Macaca mulatta: one gene and its partner. The protein of the gene in region 1 interacts with the protein of each later gene in a pairwise test. Links are inferred from orthologs where the notes say so. Each region holds a gene or a part of one and is shown in the gene's direction. Other genes may lie near its edges. The genes, in order: FIP1L1 and CPSF4.

Evidence for each region.
Region 2: the proteins of FIP1L1 (region 1) and CPSF4 interact in binary tests that used the Homo sapiens proteins (3 or more experiments, as listed by UniProt). The two-hybrid records come from large-scale screens. The link is inferred for Macaca mulatta from reciprocal best matches to the Homo sapiens genes FIP1L1 and CPSF4.

The regions. Positions count from the first base shown.
Region 1 is NC_133410.1:80,107,334-80,115,425, reverse strand, and holds part of FIP1L1 (pre-mRNA 3'-end-processing factor FIP1), read left to right. Parts: intron 1-3,494; coding exon 3,495-3,559; intron 3,560-4,209; coding exon 4,210-4,317; intron 4,318-4,689; coding exon 4,690-4,820; intron 4,821-5,109; coding exon 5,110-5,178; intron 5,179-8,092.
Region 2 is NC_133408.1:46,664,675-46,673,410, forward strand, and holds the start of CPSF4 (cleavage and polyadenylation specificity factor subunit 4), read left to right. Parts: upstream 1-4,445; 5' UTR 4,446-4,556; coding exon 4,557-4,659; exon of another isoform or gene 4,660-4,741; intron 4,742-4,899; exon of another isoform or gene 4,900-5,070; intron 5,071-8,214; exon of another isoform or gene 8,215-8,511; intron 8,512-8,736. Other genes in the region: PTCD1 (pentatricopeptide repeat-containing protein 1, mitochondrial), read right to left, coding at 524-1,020. UniProt on the Homo sapiens protein: Component of the cleavage and polyadenylation specificity factor (CPSF) complex that play a key role in pre-mRNA 3'-end formation, recognizing the AAUAAA signal sequence and interacting with poly(A) polymerase and other factors to bring about cleavage and poly(A) addition.

The DNA.
Region 1 (8,092 bases):
ACAAAAGAACTCTTGGTAAAATCATGATGAAATTTCCTGGAGTCAACAAATTAGATAGAGTTACATGAAAGCAGCAATTTTTTTATTTGTGAATGTATTAATTGATGAGAATACAAGAAGTTATTATTTTCCAGAGGTAGTGAGGAAAACAGACATGTGAGTAAATATTTTCAGTGCAACATAAGTGCTACAATAGAAACATGTACAAAGTGATTAGAAAAGTTTGAGAGGAGAGTTGCTGAAAGCCTACAGGTATTGAAGAGAAGATCCCAGAGGTGACATTTGAATTTGAATAGTTTTTGAGATGGGAGACAGTGGTTTTTAGGTGGAGGACACTGCTTAAAAATAAATGTAGTAGATGCATGGCTTGGAGGAAGTACATGGCTGGAGGATAAGGTAGATGAAAAGAGATGGTTGAAATCACTTATGAAAGGAGTTAGGATGCATTTGCTATGTCTTTGTAGACCTTGCAGGGTTGTCCAACCAGCCGACGTTATGTTGTTGTTGTTGTTGTTGTTGTTGTTGTTCTGTTTTGGTTTGTTTTAGGCTTTTAGCTGCCCAAAGCCGTGGTTTTTAGTTTCTGTCTCCAGTGATAAGTGGAAAAGAGGGTTGATGAAGGGGCTTTACTGGCCTAACCAGAACAGAAACTGAGGACCTATGACTGTATTCTCTCACTTAGACACCCCGATTAGGTTTTTAGATAGATTATATTATTTGAAAAGGTATTACCTTTAGACACTTTAGATTTCTATAGAGTAGAAACTATTGTAGCATCAGTAGTTGAGATGGGTTAGATGGAGAGACATTGACTAATAGATGTGAAGTAGTTGTCCAGGTGAGATGATAATCTAGACTAAGGCAGCAGTAGTAGAGAGATGAATGGGAAAATAGTATATTTGAATATTTGAGAAACAAATATAGTCAGGCATGTGGTATACACCTGTAGTCCCATGGACTTGGGAGGCTGAGGTAGGAGGATCGCTTGAGCCTTGGAGTTTCAGGGCAGCCTGGGCCATATAGTAAGATCTTGTCTCAAAGAATAAAAAGAAAGAAATAACAAATAACATGGGTAACTGGTTGGTTGTGGATGGAGGAGGAGATAAAGGGACTTAAAGATTTCTAGAGCAGTTAATTGGGTCCAGGTGGGCGCTACTGCTCCCACCTCCCACAAAATAGATTCATTTGATATGTTTATTTTGAAATTCCTATAGAAAATCCAAGTATAGGATCTAGCATTTAGAGTGGTCTGAGAGTTCATGGGGATCTATTGGACATTATATCAAATTTGCCTCTGCAAATTTTCATACCACTAAGCTTCTCTACGCAGAATGAATACAAAGGCTTGTGGCTTGAAAAAGAAAAATGATGTTTTAAAAGGCAGAATGGGGAATAGAAAGTAGCTAGATGGAAAGCAAAGAAGCTCATCTATTGAAGACTTAGGGCTAAGCCTTTTATAAAAATGCCATTTTATTCTATAGCAGTCCTGTAAGAGAACAGTTTAGAGAAAATCCTTGATTTTTCTACATTTGTAGAAAAATCATGTACATCATATGTAGATAGCACTAAGTCACTTTTGCTGAATTTGGATTGTTAAAATGTAAACATCGTGAAGGCAGGGACCAAATTTGTCCAGCTCCTCATACTTTTTCCTTAGCCTAGAATCATACCTGACATGGTTTTGGTGCTCAGTAAGCATTACATGAATTAATCAGTCTATAAAGTGATTATTTCAAGTTGGTGATGATAGTACTGCTTGACAGTAATATTTGGTCCACTTTGTAATTCTTGCATTTCTAGCTGTGAAGCTACAATTATTTGATACAATTACTTAAACATTTTATTGCATTTACATTTTTCTTTTTTAAGTGGAAAAGAAAAATGACAGTGCAAATGTAACTCAACCTAAGTCTTATATTTAGTACATTAGAGACAAAAGATGGAAGTAATTATTATTAGACCCAAAGCAGTGAATCTAAAGTCCAGATGGCTGAACTTCTGAGAGAAAAGAACCAAATATGCCACATGAATGTAATGTGAGAAATATATCATTGAAAATACCTATGACTTGAGGTCTTACTGGTATCTTTTTTTTTTTGAGACGGAGTCTCGCTCTGTGGCCCAGGCTGGAGTGCAGTGGCGTGTTCTCGGCTCACTGCAAGCTCTGCCTCCTGGGTTCATGCCATTGCCCTGCCTCAGCCTCCTGAGTAGCTGGGACTACAGGTGCCCGCCACCACGCCTGGCTAATTTTTTCTATTTTTTAGTAGAGGGGGGGTTTCACCGTATTAGCCAGGATGGTCTCGATCTCCTGACCTCGTGATTTGCCCGTCTCAGCCTCCCAAAGTGCTGGGATTACAGGTGTGAGCCATCGCCTGCCGTCTTACTGATATCTTTTTGTTCAGTGGGAGTTGGTCCTTCTTTGCCCATTCCTGTTTTCTTCTAATTTCCCTAGTAACAGAAAAGTCTATTTTAATTAGTATATTTGATAATACTACGCATATATAAGAATCCATTATATAAAAAAAGTAAAGAACTATCTGTAACCCCTTACAGAAAATTTATATGAGGCTCATTTATACAAGTATAAATGCAATGAAATATTCAAATAATTATATACGAGTCTTAGATGTCTTGGCCAAGATTACACTAACAACTGACAAAACATTTGAATGTGGATTGGTCCAACTTCAGAAATTTTTTTCTTTATCACTGTGTATTATATTACATCTAAAAAGGTGCAGCTTAATACTTTTTTCAAATATATGCATTCATGTAACTACAACCAGATCAAGATACGAAACATAATTGGCATCCTAGAAGTTTCTCTCATTTTTCCTCTTGGTCATTAACCACCCACCACCGGTAAACACTGTTCTGCTTTCATGCTAGACTTATTTTTGAATTTCATGACAATAAATTTCTATTATGAACTCCATGAATGGTTGAAAAAGGATTTATTAACAATATCAACTGTGGTAAGAACTGAAAGGCCACTGGATTTAACAACAAGTTGGAGGAATTTTACTTATGCTTAAGATTGCTGTATGTGTAATAACTGGCAGGCAAGGAAATGAAGAAAAGGGGTATAAACTATGTTTCCCTTCTTAGCCTTATTTCTTGTGAAGTTTGTTACAGTAGAATGTTGAGTTAGTGGCAAAGAGATTTTTGAAATGGAAACAAGTCAGTTTTTTTTTTAATGTTTTTGCCTTTTATTGAGCAGGTGACTTTAGAAACTAGTTTAAAATGTTTTTTAAAATGTGTATTAGCTGGGCACGGTGACTCACTCTTGTAATCTCAGCATTTTGGGAAGCCAAGGCGGGAGGATTGCTTGAGCTCAGGAGTTCGAGACCAGCCTGGATGACATGCTGTGAGATCTCATCTATCCAAAATTTAAAAAATAAAAATAGAAATTATAAAAAATAGAAAAATAAAAATAGAAATATTACTGCTTTGTTTAAGCTTTTCAGGATAATTTTTGGTTTTTTGTTTGTTTTTAGGAGTTATGGTACAGCACCTGTAAATCTTAACATCAAGACAGGAGGAAGAGTTTATGGAACTACAGGTAAAGTTTGTATTTTCTGTTGCATCAGTAGAGAAATAAGGCACATATCTTAAATAGGTCTTAATCACTCTTTTTTTAGTGGGACACAGAGTCTGACTTTGTCACCCAGACTGGAGTACAGTGGCGCAATCTTAGTTCACTGCACCCTCCATCTTCCAGGCTCAAACCATCCTCCCACTTCACCTTCTCAAATAGCTGGGACTGTGGGCGTGCACCACCATGCTTGGCCAATTTTTGTGTTTTTATGTAGAGACCGGGTCTCGCCATGTTGTTCAGGCTGGTTTTGAACTTTTGAGCTTAAGTGATCTGCCTGCCTTGGCCTCCCAGACTGTTGGGATTCCAAGTGTGCGCTGCTGCGCCTGGCCAAGGTGATAATATAATAGCTCTTTTTAAAGGTAATTTTTGACCATACATCACAGGGACTGGTAAATTTTTTCTGTAAATAGTCCAGTAGCACATATTTTAGGCTCTGCTTTGTTTGGAATGCTTGCCAGGTTTTTTGCCAGGGATAGTAAAAAAATGTTTGTTTTCTGTTTGTGTGTGTATGTGTGCCAGGAATAGTAAAAAGGTGTTTATATCTTCTGTTTGTCTATGGTATGTCCCAGCTTCTTGCAAGTGTAGCTCCTTCATTTTGTAATTTTATAAAACAGGAACAAAAGTCAAAGGAGTAGACCTTGATGCACCTGGAAGCATTAATGGAGTTCCACTTTTAGAGGTAGATTTGGATTCTTTTGAAGATAAACCATGGCGTAAACCTGGTAAGACTGTTGTGGATTATATTAATTTCAATATTTTTAGTGTGAAGTCATCAGAAAATTTTTTGAGCATCAATTTAGAATTTTATTTTTTCATTATAATTTTAATTGTCTTAAGCAAATGATGAGTAATAGTGACTTGGATTATTAAATCTTACTGGCGGCCTCATATTACTTAAAATGTAGACTTTATTATAATGACATTTCTAAAGGAAATAATTTGATCAAAAATTTTATGGTCTTTTTGCCACCATAAATGATAGAGTGATAACTGATAGAAGTCTAAATTTATATTTTTATAGTTTAGTATATTTTTGATGCTGCATAAAAATAGAGCTGAAATATTTGTACACTAAAGATGTGTTTTATCTTTAGGTGCTGATCTTTCTGATTATTTTAATTATGGGTTTAATGAAGATACCTGGAAAGCTTACTGTGAAAAACAAAAAAGGATACGAATGGGACTTGAAGTTATACCAGTAACTTCTACTACAAATAAAATTACGGTAATTAAGAAATACTCCGGAATACCCTTGGCTTGTCTACCGTCCCACTTTTACTCCCCAAATAAATCACTTCCCTATAAAAGTGGTTAAATGATATACGATAGTTTAAAAATTCCATTTTGTTTACCATGTTTGTTTTTCCCTTCCCTCCCTTTTAGAGTTTTGTATTAATGATTATCTGATGTTCTTACTTTCAAATCACAGACTAGCCACAGCTAGTTTGTCTTTATATGGCCTATTAATTAAATATTATGTGGTATCTTAATGGGGAATATGTTATTTAACTTAGGCCGAAGACTGTACTATGGAAGTTACACCAGGTGCAGAGATCCAAGATGGCAGATTCAATCTTTTTAAGGTGAATTTTAGTAAATTATCCTTGGTTGCTCTCATTTTTTGTTCTTGAGTCTGCTCCCATACCACTACTCAAGGGACAAGATTAAAGTGGAAATAGCTACCTTTTTTCCAAACCTTCAGCTTCCTGGTGACTTACAAATTTGCTGATTGTTGTTTTATCTCCACTTTTGCAAGCATGTGAATTTATAGCCTATTATACTAACAAATGCCAAGTAAAACTGTTCTTTGCTATATGTTGTGATTTCATTTTGAGTTGTAATACGTGTTTGTAGGATAGAAAAGTTAGTGGCAACAGATTAAGCTCTCATTGTAGATAATACTCTAATCTTTATCAACAGAATTGGAGACTTTTTTGTTTTCTTTAAAAAAAACGGTAAGGAAGTGGCATACTGTTTATCTCTATGATACTGGTAACACTGATACCATTGGTGTAATGCCCCGATAGCTCAAGATATCTTCAAAAATCTTAGACATTCTCTGAGAGGCTTTAAGAACTCAACAGAATGAGATAAAGCCATTGATTTTAAAAATTGGTACTTGAAAGGAGTAGGTTTATGTGAGAGACTTTGAGGTTGATACTACAACTTGTGTATCAAGTCTCGTTTCTGGCTTCTCCATTGCATGGTATGATCACAGACCCAGTCCAAAGAATAATACTATATTGTCATAGTTCTTTTATGGAAAACTGGTTGTGTACTCTTTTTTCTTTACCTTGATGGTTGATTATTGTATTGAATGACACTGAGATGAAGATTGGGAGTGGCTTTTAGATTGGGTTATATACTCAGGGAACTTTAGTGGACTGGAAAAAGACCTCTGCTCCCCTTTTGGGTTTGCAGCCCTGTCCACCAGAATACTGCCTTATGCAGTGTGTGTGCTGTGTCTGCAGATAAACCACTCTACTGTACACAGTTCTATATAGATAATTTTATTTTTAATTTACATTCTACTTTGCATATTTGGTTCTTTTGCAAATATTTTGAAAGTGTGTGGTGATGTCTGTTGTATTTTAAAGGGTCATCAGGTTTTTTTGTGTTATATTGTCTATAATGGCATTGAATATATTAAACTTAACTACAATGGGTAGAAAAGTTGTCTTAATGAACTAGTTCATTAGCAGCAGTGCATTTTATTTTATTTTTTAATAGAAACGAGAACTGCCATCATAAACTGTTAGCTTCTGTATACTTTATTTTTTGTAGTAGACTTTTAAAAAGAGAATAAAAAGAAACTCCTAGGGGTCAGTCTTATTGAAGGTAGCCATTATGAATGTGTATTTTATATACATACTGTGTACTGAAAAACTTATTTTGAAGTTTCTTTTGGTTATGTGAGAGGAGGTCAGAGTGTTCCATTCTGATTGGATTCTGAATGAAAGATTTGAATTTGATGGGTACAGTCTTCATGGTTTTCTTGCCTTGACAGTGTGTTTAAATACTAATATGTTTGGTAGAAATACTGATTTGGGAAGAGGGTGTGTATTAAGACTATGTGTGGCAAACATTTTTTCTTTATGTATATTGTGGTCTGTAAGAAATGTTGGAAATAGGGCCATAATGAGCAGGACATTGATTTTAAACTAGCCTGCAAACATTTGTGTGGCCAATAGGAAGCTGTTTGAAAGTTCCTGAGCAGTAGAATGAAGTGCAGATCTGGTTTTTAGAAAAGGAACTGGCAGCAGGATGGGCTGTAGAATGAAAGGGATATGAAATAGATAGGGTTATGTTGCCATACTATAGGAATGAAATGAACTAGGGCCTGAACTCACTTACGAGGGTGAATGGGCAAAGGAGTGGATTTAAGAATTAAAATTTATTTTCATATCTACTGCAAATAGAATTTTTTCATCCTTAAGTGTGAGACAACCCATCAGCCTCTTTAAGATAACTTTATTTACTATTCATTAAATAATTTTCAAACCCAGTAACAAGTAGAATAGTACACATGAACCCTTAGGTGCTTATGCAGCTTCAACACTTAACGGTGTTTTGACATTCTTGAGGTAACAGCCTTTTATATACTTCAATATGATTAAAGTTTTACTAAAAAGCAAAATAAAGGAAAAAATTTAACAGGTGTAAAAATAAAGCCACTCATTTGGGTGCAAAAACAATTGTGTAATAATTTAATTAGAGTGAGGGGCAAGAGAGAAGTGACTAGTGGGAATAGATAATATGTATGCATGAGAAAACACTGACTACAACGATTTCTTAAAATATTTTTTATTCATTTGTGCGCACACGCATAGCTCTTTCCCCCCCCCCCCCGCCCCCAACTGTGAATCTATGAGCTTTGTCACCAGTTTTCTGAAAATTTACAGTTACGTGTCTTGGTCTGTTTTCATCCATTGTACCAAGCACTCAGTTACGCCGTCTCGATTTGGAAGCACTTATGCTTCACTTGTGGAACACTTTCTCTTTTACTTTTTTCTCTGCTTTCTGTTCTATTCTAGATAAATATTGGATATCTTCGAATGGTCTTCTAAATTTTTTTTATTGTTTTTTTCGTCTTTTCCATTATCTGGGAGAATTTTTTATTCTTAAAATGTTTCCACTTAGTTTTCATTTCTGCTGTTAATTTCCAAGAAAAGTTTTCTTTATTATTTAGTTGTGGCATCTTATTGTTCATGCCTACAGTAATGCAATATCTTTTTCCCCCCTCTTTCAAAGGATATTAATGATAGGCTGTTTTGTTTCTGTTAGATTTTCTTTTCCTGCATAGTCTGTTTTCAACTTGATTATTTTAGTTAGTACTTTTAGCTTCTGACTTTGACTTTCCTGAGATGTTTGTTGATTGTTGGCCATACACTTATGTAAGGGTGGACTGCTAAAATTGATTGGAAGCTCTGTGCATCTGAATAGAACTTGCTTGACTGCAGGCTTCACGAGAGGGCTGTTTTTTCACATTCCCTGCTG
Region 2 (8,736 bases), on another chromosome or scaffold:
GAGACCAAGGCGGGCAGATCACCTGAGGTCTGGCCAACACGGAGAAACCCCATCTCTACTAAAAATACAAAAATCGGCCAGGCGTGGTGGCACATGCCTGTAATCCCAGCTACTTGGGACACTGAGGCAGGAGAATCGCTTGAATTCCCCAGGAGGCAGAGGCTGCAGTGAGCCAAGATCGTTCCGCTGTACTATAGCCTGGGCGACAGAGTGAGATCCTGTCTTAACAACAAAAAAAAAACGTAAAGCAGGGAGTGCCAGAAGGGTGTGGAGGATTCACTTTTCCTTTTTTTTTTTTTTTTGAGACAGATTCTTGCTCTGTGACTCAGGCTGGAGTCCAGTGGTAAGATCAGCTCAGTGCAACCTCCATCTCTACAAAAAAAAAAATACAATAAAATAAAACTGTGGCAGAGGATGGCAAAGGGCAGTGATACTTACAGCCATAAGGCTGGTAGTTCACAGGGTAGGCCCAAAACTTAGAGGCTGGGAAGGTCAGGCGACCCCTTGCAAAACACTGAGCTACCAGGGGTAAGAAGCCAGGAGCCGCAGAACCAAAGCGCCCCTCACCTTCCCTTCCTTGATCAGGCGTTTGCACTGCAAGAAGTACCAGTACGGGGTGTTTCTCCGGCCTTGCCATAATTTGGGCTCCGGTTCCTCTGGCTCCTCTCTCTGTTCCCTGAACCGCAGGTTATGGAACTGGGCTGTGGATTTGTGGAATAGTCTCCGGGAGGAGTATTTGTCAGAGAGGGTCCCAAAACTCTCCTCCTCCTCCTCGTCTTCTTCCTGCATGGCCGCGGAGTTGGAGTGGCTCGGGTCAGAGCCCAGGCTGCCCGTGTTCTCCAAGTGCTCCTGGCCGAGGGGCAGCTGAGAGGAGGAGCTGCTGAAGGCTGCCCACACTGGCCGCATCAGCCCCTCCCTGCCTCCCGCCCACCTGGCGCTACAGGGATCCAGGTGTTGCAGGACGAACAGTCCCATGGGGCGGGCCCTGGAGAACAGTCTAGTGAGTCTCATGAGGTTCATTTCTGGCTTTCCGGTCCCTCCAGGGCCTGGAATATATCAGGAAAAGTAAGAGAGTCAACTCAGTTCCTAGTCACAAAAGGCAGAAAGAAAGAAGTGCTTAGAAGTATGGGCCCAGGCTGGGCGCGATGGCTCACGCGTGTAATCCCAGGACTTGGGGAGGTCGGGGCCAGCATATCACTTGAGGTCAGGAGTTTGAGACCAGCCTGGCCAACATGGTAAAACCCTGTCACTATGAAAAATACAAAAATTAGCCAGGCATGGTGGTTTTTACAGCCAGGTGCGCCTGTAATCCCAGCTACTCAGGAGACTGAGTCAGGAGAATCACTGGAACCCGGGAGATGGAGCTTGCAGTGAGCTGAGATTGCGCCACCATACTCCAGCCGGGTGACAAAGTGAGACTCTGTCTCAAAAAAACAAAACCAAACCAACCAAACAAACGAACAAAAAAAAGAACAGGCCAGGAACGGTGGCTCATGCCTGTACTCCCAGCACTTTGGGAGGCCAAGGTGGGCAGATCAGTTCAAGACCAGCCTGGTGAAACTCCATCTGTACTAAAAATAGAAAAAAAATGAGCTGGATGTGGTGCTACATGTCTAATCCCAGCTACTCAGGAGTCTGAGGTAGGAGAATCACTTGAACCCAGGAGACCGAGCTTGCAGTGAGCTGAGATCACGCCACTGCGCTCCAGCCTGAGTGACACAGTGAGACTCTGTATCAGAAAAATAATAATAATAATAAATAAAATAAGAAGTATGGGCCCAAAGGTTAGAAAGCCTAGGTTCAGGTCAGACATAGCTCACTGCAGCCTCACCCTCCTGTGCTCAAGCGATCCTCCCATTTCAGCCTCCTGAGTAGCTGGAACGACAGGTGCGTGCCACCACGCCTAATTTCATTTTTTGGTCGAGATGGGGTCTTGCTATGTGCCCAGGCTGGTCTCGAACTCCTGGACTCAAGCAATCCTCTCACCTTGACCTCCCAAAGCACTGGGATTACAGGAATGAGCCACCATGCCCAGCCTAAAATATTTTGAAGTCTGGTTATATTAGAAGGTTGCCATTGGAAAAGTCTCACAAGTGATGGCAGATTGAACAGATTAAAAACTAGGCCCAGCAGGCCAGGAGCGGTGGCTCACGCCTGTAATCCAGGAACTTTGGGAGGCAAAGGTGGGTGGATCACCTGAGGTCAGGAGTTCGAGACCAGCCTGACATGGTGAACCCCATCTCTACTAAAAATACAAAAATTAGCTGGGCATGACAGCATGTCCCTGTAATCCCAGCTACTCGGGAGGCTGAGGCAGGAGAATCACTTGAACGTGGGAAGCAGAGGTTGCAGTGAGCCAAGATAGCGCCATTGCACTCCAGCCTGAGCAACACAGCAAGACTCTGTCTCAAAAAAACCAACAACGACAACAAACAAAAAACTAGGCCCAGCAAGGGGAGAGACTTGCTGGGGTCCTGCAGCAGTGCAGTGGGTGAGACTGGCCAGTTTGGCCTGGGCTGGCTTAGAACTCAGGTCCATGTAACGTATGGACAGACTCTCCTGACTAGCACCTTTGTGAAACTAGTGCAGGGGGCCTTTATCATTCTGCATCTGGCAAGCCCTGCCACTCCTTCTTACAAGCATGGTGTTTATGTAATTTTCTTTTTATGGGAATGGGGTCTTCATGTTGCCCAGGCTGGAGTGCGATGGCACAGTGGCAAACGCACAATCACTGCAACCTCCAACTTCTGGACTCAAGTGATCCTCCTACCTCAGCCTCCCAATTAACTAGCACTACTGGTGCACACCACCATACCCAGCTAATTTTTTGTAGAGATGTAGTCTCCCTATGTTGCCAGGCTGGTCTAGTACTCCTGGCCTCAAGCAATCCTCCAGCCTTGGTCTCCCAAAGTGTTGGGATTGCAAGCGTAAGCCTCCATGCCCTGCCTTATGTGCATTAATTACAATACACAGAATTACAAAACAAAAAGCAATGATATTGAAATGGCATCAAAATGCTTTAAAAACAAATTTCTGCTATACTAGCATAGATGCTTATTTTCAATGCATTAAATAACAAGACCCTACAATAATTTCAAAGCAGTAACGAATGTAAGTGACAGCTTAAGATACCACCTTGTAGGTGCTGCACAAACTGTTTTTTTTTTTTTTGAGTCTCACTCTGTCGCCAGGCTGGAGTGGGGTGGTGCCATCTCGGCTCAATGCAACCTCTGCCTCCCGGGTTCAAGCGATGCTCATGCCTCAGCCTCCCAAGTAGCTGGGATTACAGGCACGCACCACCACTCCCGACTAATTTTTATATTTTTAGTAGAGACGGGGTTTTGCCATGCTGTCCAGCCTGGTCTTGAACTCCTGACCTCAAGTGATCCTCCTGCGTCGGCCTCCTAAAGTGCTGGAGTGACGGGTGTGAGCCATCACGCCTGGCCCTGCACAAACTCTTATCTGGAACTATCATTTACACTCACCCCACCTTGAAATTATGACACAGTTTCAGGCACTGCTAAGGCTGCTCCAGCAATTGGGAAAGGAAATGCTAAATTTCACAGAGAAAATAGGGGTGTCATTTTGTTCCTATACAATTTCATTACCCCACCCTGGTTAGAAAACCCTGAATTAGACCATACAGTGGCTCATGCCTGTAATCCCAGCACTTTGGGAGGCCCAGGCGAGTCGATCGCTTGGGGCTTGGGGCTAGGAGTTCAAGACCAGCCTGGGCAACATAGCAAGGCCCCCATCTCCACAAAAATTAAAAATAAAAATTTAAAAATTAGCCAAGCGTGGTGGTGCAGCTACTCAAGAGGCTGAGGTGGGAGGATCGCTTGAGCCTGAGAAGTTGAAGCTGCAGTGAGCTATGATCGTACCGCTGTACTCCAGCCTGGGCCACCTAGCGAGAAAAGAAAAAACCCTGAATTAGAGACACGCTGCGGCCGTCCTTCTTCGGAGAGACCCGCCCCTCCTCAGACGCCTACCCGGACCCTCAGGCCAACGCCGACCCCTCTCCACACAGACTTTTGCAGCCTCAGTTTCCCTCCTCGGACGCCCCTGGCTCCAATCCTGGTTCGGGCACTTCCTTCCCCTCTGGCGTGTCTCTGCCCGGATCCCGGGGTTCCTGCGAGGATCACACAAGAACTCACTTGAAGTGTCCGGCGCAGTGCACTCCGACGGGGCTCTCTACCCGGTCCCCGCGACGGACCCGGCTCTCCCACGGATCACCCTCTCCCCTGACGCGCAAGCGCAGCCCGCGTCGCCGACACACGCGGCTGGTTTCAGGTTTCCGGCGAGACTAGGCCGGCGTTCGGCTGGCGGCTAGCCGGGACTAGCGGAGCGGCGGGACTCCGCGCTCGATTGGCAGTGCCTGGACAGGCGCAAGAACCGGCGCGGGCTCTGGGCGCTCCCGGCATCCCTCGGGCGGCGGCGGCGGCGGCGGCTGCGAGGCGCAGGAGGAGCGTGTGCGGCGGGCCCGGCGGCGGGTAGAGAGGCGAGAGGGCTGCAGGAGACCGAGGGGGAGCCGGGCCGGTGGGGCCGCCGCCGCCGCCATGCAGGAAATAATCGCCAGCGTGGACCACATCAAGTTTGACTTGGAGATCGCAGTGGAGCAGCAGCTCGGGGCGCAGCCGCTGCCCTTCCCCGGCATGGACAGTGAGCGCGGGGCCCTGGCGGGAGGGCGAGAGCGACTCGAACCCCGGACCCTCTCCTCTGTGTTCCCGGGACTCCTTCGCCTCGGTCCTGAGACCTCCCCCGGCTTCCTCTGGATCCTGGGACCCCTCCCCTTCGGTCGCGGGACTCCTCCCTCTATGTCTTGAGAGTCCCTCCCACCTCCTCCGGGTCCTGGGACCCTCCCCTTTAGTTCCCGAACTCCCTCATCTGTGATCCGGGACTCTTCTCACTCCATCCTGAGACCTCCTCTTCTGGATCCCGGGACGCTCCCCCTTGGTTCCAGGACTCCTGACTCCCAGGCCCCCATTTCCACCGTCTGGGGACCCCTTTTCCCCTCACTCGAACTCAGGAGTTCTCTGCCTCGGATCTTTGGCCCCCTGCGGCTGTTTAAAGGTAATCTGTAGGCGGGTAGGACCTTGTGCGTTCGCTTAATTCTTGAATAAGGGTGGGTTATCCTGGATTGGAACTCTCCCTCAACACTCTCCCAGCTACAGGAGAGTACTAGGATATCGCACCCCCTACCTCCCAACCCCGCTACATTGAGCGTCTCTTCTTTTTGCTTTCATCAAAACTAGGCTGTTGGAGGAGGCGTGCTGAGGGAAGGACCACCTCTCTGTAGGAGACCCCAGCTAGACTCTTAAACTTCCTTCTAGGACTCTCTCTCCTGGGAGCTCATCCTTAGTTTTTGGCCTGTCCCTACTTTTTTCTGGACCCCAACTCTGAGTTGTTCATCACACCCAGCAGCTGGTGTGGTCCCTTAGCCTGAACTCCCTTCACTCCTCCCTTTCACATGGTGGCTCCTGGCTCCCCATATCTTGTACTTTAAAAGAAACCGGTAGTTTTCTTTGTGTCTTCTTTCCTATCCGGACACACTTGAAATCTAATGCTATAGCCTTAAAGTTCGCGGGCTTGTGGAAGTCACTGAGTTCAATCCACAGATGGGGAAACTGAGACCCAAGCAGGGGAAGGGACTTGCTGACGACCACTCAGTGCATAGCAGAGCCAGGCAAGTTCTCCAGTGTTGTGTGCTGTCGCCCCGCACTACCAGCGGGGTCTCCCGCACTACCAGCGGGGTCTCCCAGCAGCCTCTCTCCCCTCAGGCGGCCACACCTTCTCATGCACATGTGACCTCTGAGTCTGTCCCTTTCTGTGGTTTTTTTGTTGTTGTTTGTTTGCTTTTGAGACAGGGGCTTCTTTTTTGCCCAGGCTGGGTGCAGTGGCGCAATCATGGCTCAATGCAGCCTCGACTTCCCAGGCTCTGACAATCCTCCCACCTCAGTTTCCCAAGTAGTTGGGACCACAGGTGTGCACCAACACGCCTGGCAAATTTTGTGTGTGTGTGTTTCTTGGTAGAGACACTGTTTCACCATGTTTCCCAGGGTTGGTCTTGAACTCCTGGGCTCAAGCGATCCTTTCACCTCGGCCTTCAGAAGTACTGGGATTACAGGCATGAGCCACCACACCTGGCCTATATTGGCCTATATATATATATATATATGTGTGTGTGTGTGTGTGTGTGTGTATATATAAATTTTTTTTGCTGCCTGTCCCACAACTTTACATGGTGATACTTCTGTACAAGATAGTTTCGTTGGAAGTTAAGTCATCAAGAAAAACAAGATAGTGCTTATAAAGAGGCATCATCAGACCACCCTATTTGACACACGCACAAACACCATCGCCACTGTACACCCCCTAAAAAGCAGCTGCTGAAATTCACACACACACACCCCCTCTTACCTACCCCTCGAGTCCTGTGATAACTTCATCCCTGCACATGTGGCCTTTTCCTGTCTCTTTTTTTTTGAGATGGAGTTTCGCTGTTGTTGCCCAGGCTGGAGTGCAATGGCGCGATCTCAGCTTACCGCAACCTCCATCTCCCGGGTTCAAGCAATTCTCCTGCCTCGGCCTCCTGAGTAGCTGGGATTATAGCCTCCCGCCACCATGCCCAACTAATTTTTGTATTTTCAGTAGAGATGAGGTTTCACCATGTTGGCCAGGCTGGTCTTGAACTCCTGACCTCAAATGATCCGCCTGCCTTGGCCTCCCAAAGTGCTGGGATTACGGGCGTGAGCCACTGCGCCCAGTCGGCCTTTTCCTGTCTTGATGGCACTGGCTTGAGACCATGGAACCACCCATGCAGGGCAGATCTTTCCCTTCCATCCTTCTGCCACCTGACAGATCCACAAGCCTGTGAGGGGAGGTACAGTGGTGAGGGGCCCACATACCTGTTCTTGAGGCCAGGGACACGCCTGGCCCTGGGTGCTGCCCCAGCCAGGGCTTCAGAGTCGGTAGGCACCCTCCACACTCACTGCTTGTCCATATCCTGTTCAGTTAAAGCCCAGTGAGGCCACAGCCCTTCCTCACCCATCCCTCCTCTTCATGCCCATCTGAGGTTTGGGAATAACTGTCACTTTGCCCATAAGGCATACTCATCCCATCCACATGAGGCTCAGTTCCCAGAACTGTGGATTTCTGAGCAGAAACAACTCTAACCTCTGAAGAGAAAGACCAGACCAGAGATACTTTCAGAATTTTTTTTTTTTTTTTTTTTTTTTTTTTTTTTTTTGGAGACAGAGTCTTGCTCTTGTTGCCCAGGCTGGAGCACAGTGATGCAATCTTGGCTCACTGCAACCTCTGCCTCTGGGTTCAAGCGATTCTCCTGCCTCAGCCTCCCGAGTAGCTGGGATTACAGGCATGTGCCACCACGCCTGGCTAATTTTTGCATTTTTAGTAGAGACGGGGTTTCTCTACATGAACTCCTGACGGCAAGTGATCCACCCGGCAAGTGATCCACCCGCCGCAAGTGATCCACCCGCCTCGGCCTCCGGAAGTGCTAGGATTACAGACGTGAGTCACCACACCTGGCCACTTTCAGACTTTTTGAAATGCAAATAGAGTGACCTCCCTGTGACAGCCAAGGAATCTTTTGTGATTTAGTAAGGGGGGGCACGTTAAGTGGACTTCAGAGATGCTGTCATTGGTTTTTCAGCAATTCTAAAATGGTTACTTGTAAGGAAACTGTTTCTGATGCCAAGGTCAGTTTAGTCTGGAAACCGGGTGCTGGTGAATTCCTGGACTCATCAGAACAGCTGGTCCCTGGAGCCCACTGAATTCCAGCACACTCTTAACTGTGGGAATGAAAGGCTGTGCTTTTTTTTTTCTTTTTTCTTTTTGTTAACAAGCAACATAATCAAAAACAAAAGCACAACAACCTTAAAGCTGAAACAGCAATAAGTCAAACTGCTGCGGCAGTTCACAGATGTACCTGGGGTACATGCTTCCTCATTTCGAGGCAGGACATAGGCACATGACTGTGCATTTAGGTATATATGTGACCAAAAAGAATGAGAGAAATGAATCCCAGCACTTTGGGAGGCCGAGGCGGGCGGATCACAAGGTCAGGAGATCGAGACCACGGTGAAACCCCGTCTCTACTAAAAATACAAAATATTAGCCGGGCGTGGTGGCGGGCGCCTGTAGTCCCAGCTACTCAGGAGGCTGAGGCAGAATAGCATGAACCCGGGAGGCGGAGCTTGCAGTGAGCCAAGATCGCACCACTGCACTCCAGCCTGGGTAACAGAGTGAGACTCCGTCTCAAAAAAAAAAAAAAAAAGAATGAGAGAAATGGAAAACACTGGAGAACAGAAAGTATCAAGAACCTTTCATTAGGCAGTCCCAAAGCGCTCTGCTCTTTTCCTCTTCTCTACCTCTTTATCCTCTGTGGTTCCAGTTCCAGCTGAACTTGTGACAATCCCAAATCGCTCCTTCCTCTTTTTCAGTTTCTTGTCATCTTCAGACTTTCTGGAGATTGAAGAGACATTCAAACCAAATCTTTTTTTTTTTTTTTTTTTTTGAGACGGAGTCTCGCTCTGTCGCCCGGGCTGGAGTGCAGTGGCCGGATCTCAGCTCACTGCAAGCTCCGCCTCCCGGGTTTACGCCATTCTCCTGCCTTAGCCTCCCAAGTAGCTGGGACTACAGGCGCCTGCCACCTCGCCCGGCTAGTTTTTTGTATTTTTTAGTAGAGACAGGGTTTCACCGTGTTAGCCAGGATGGTCT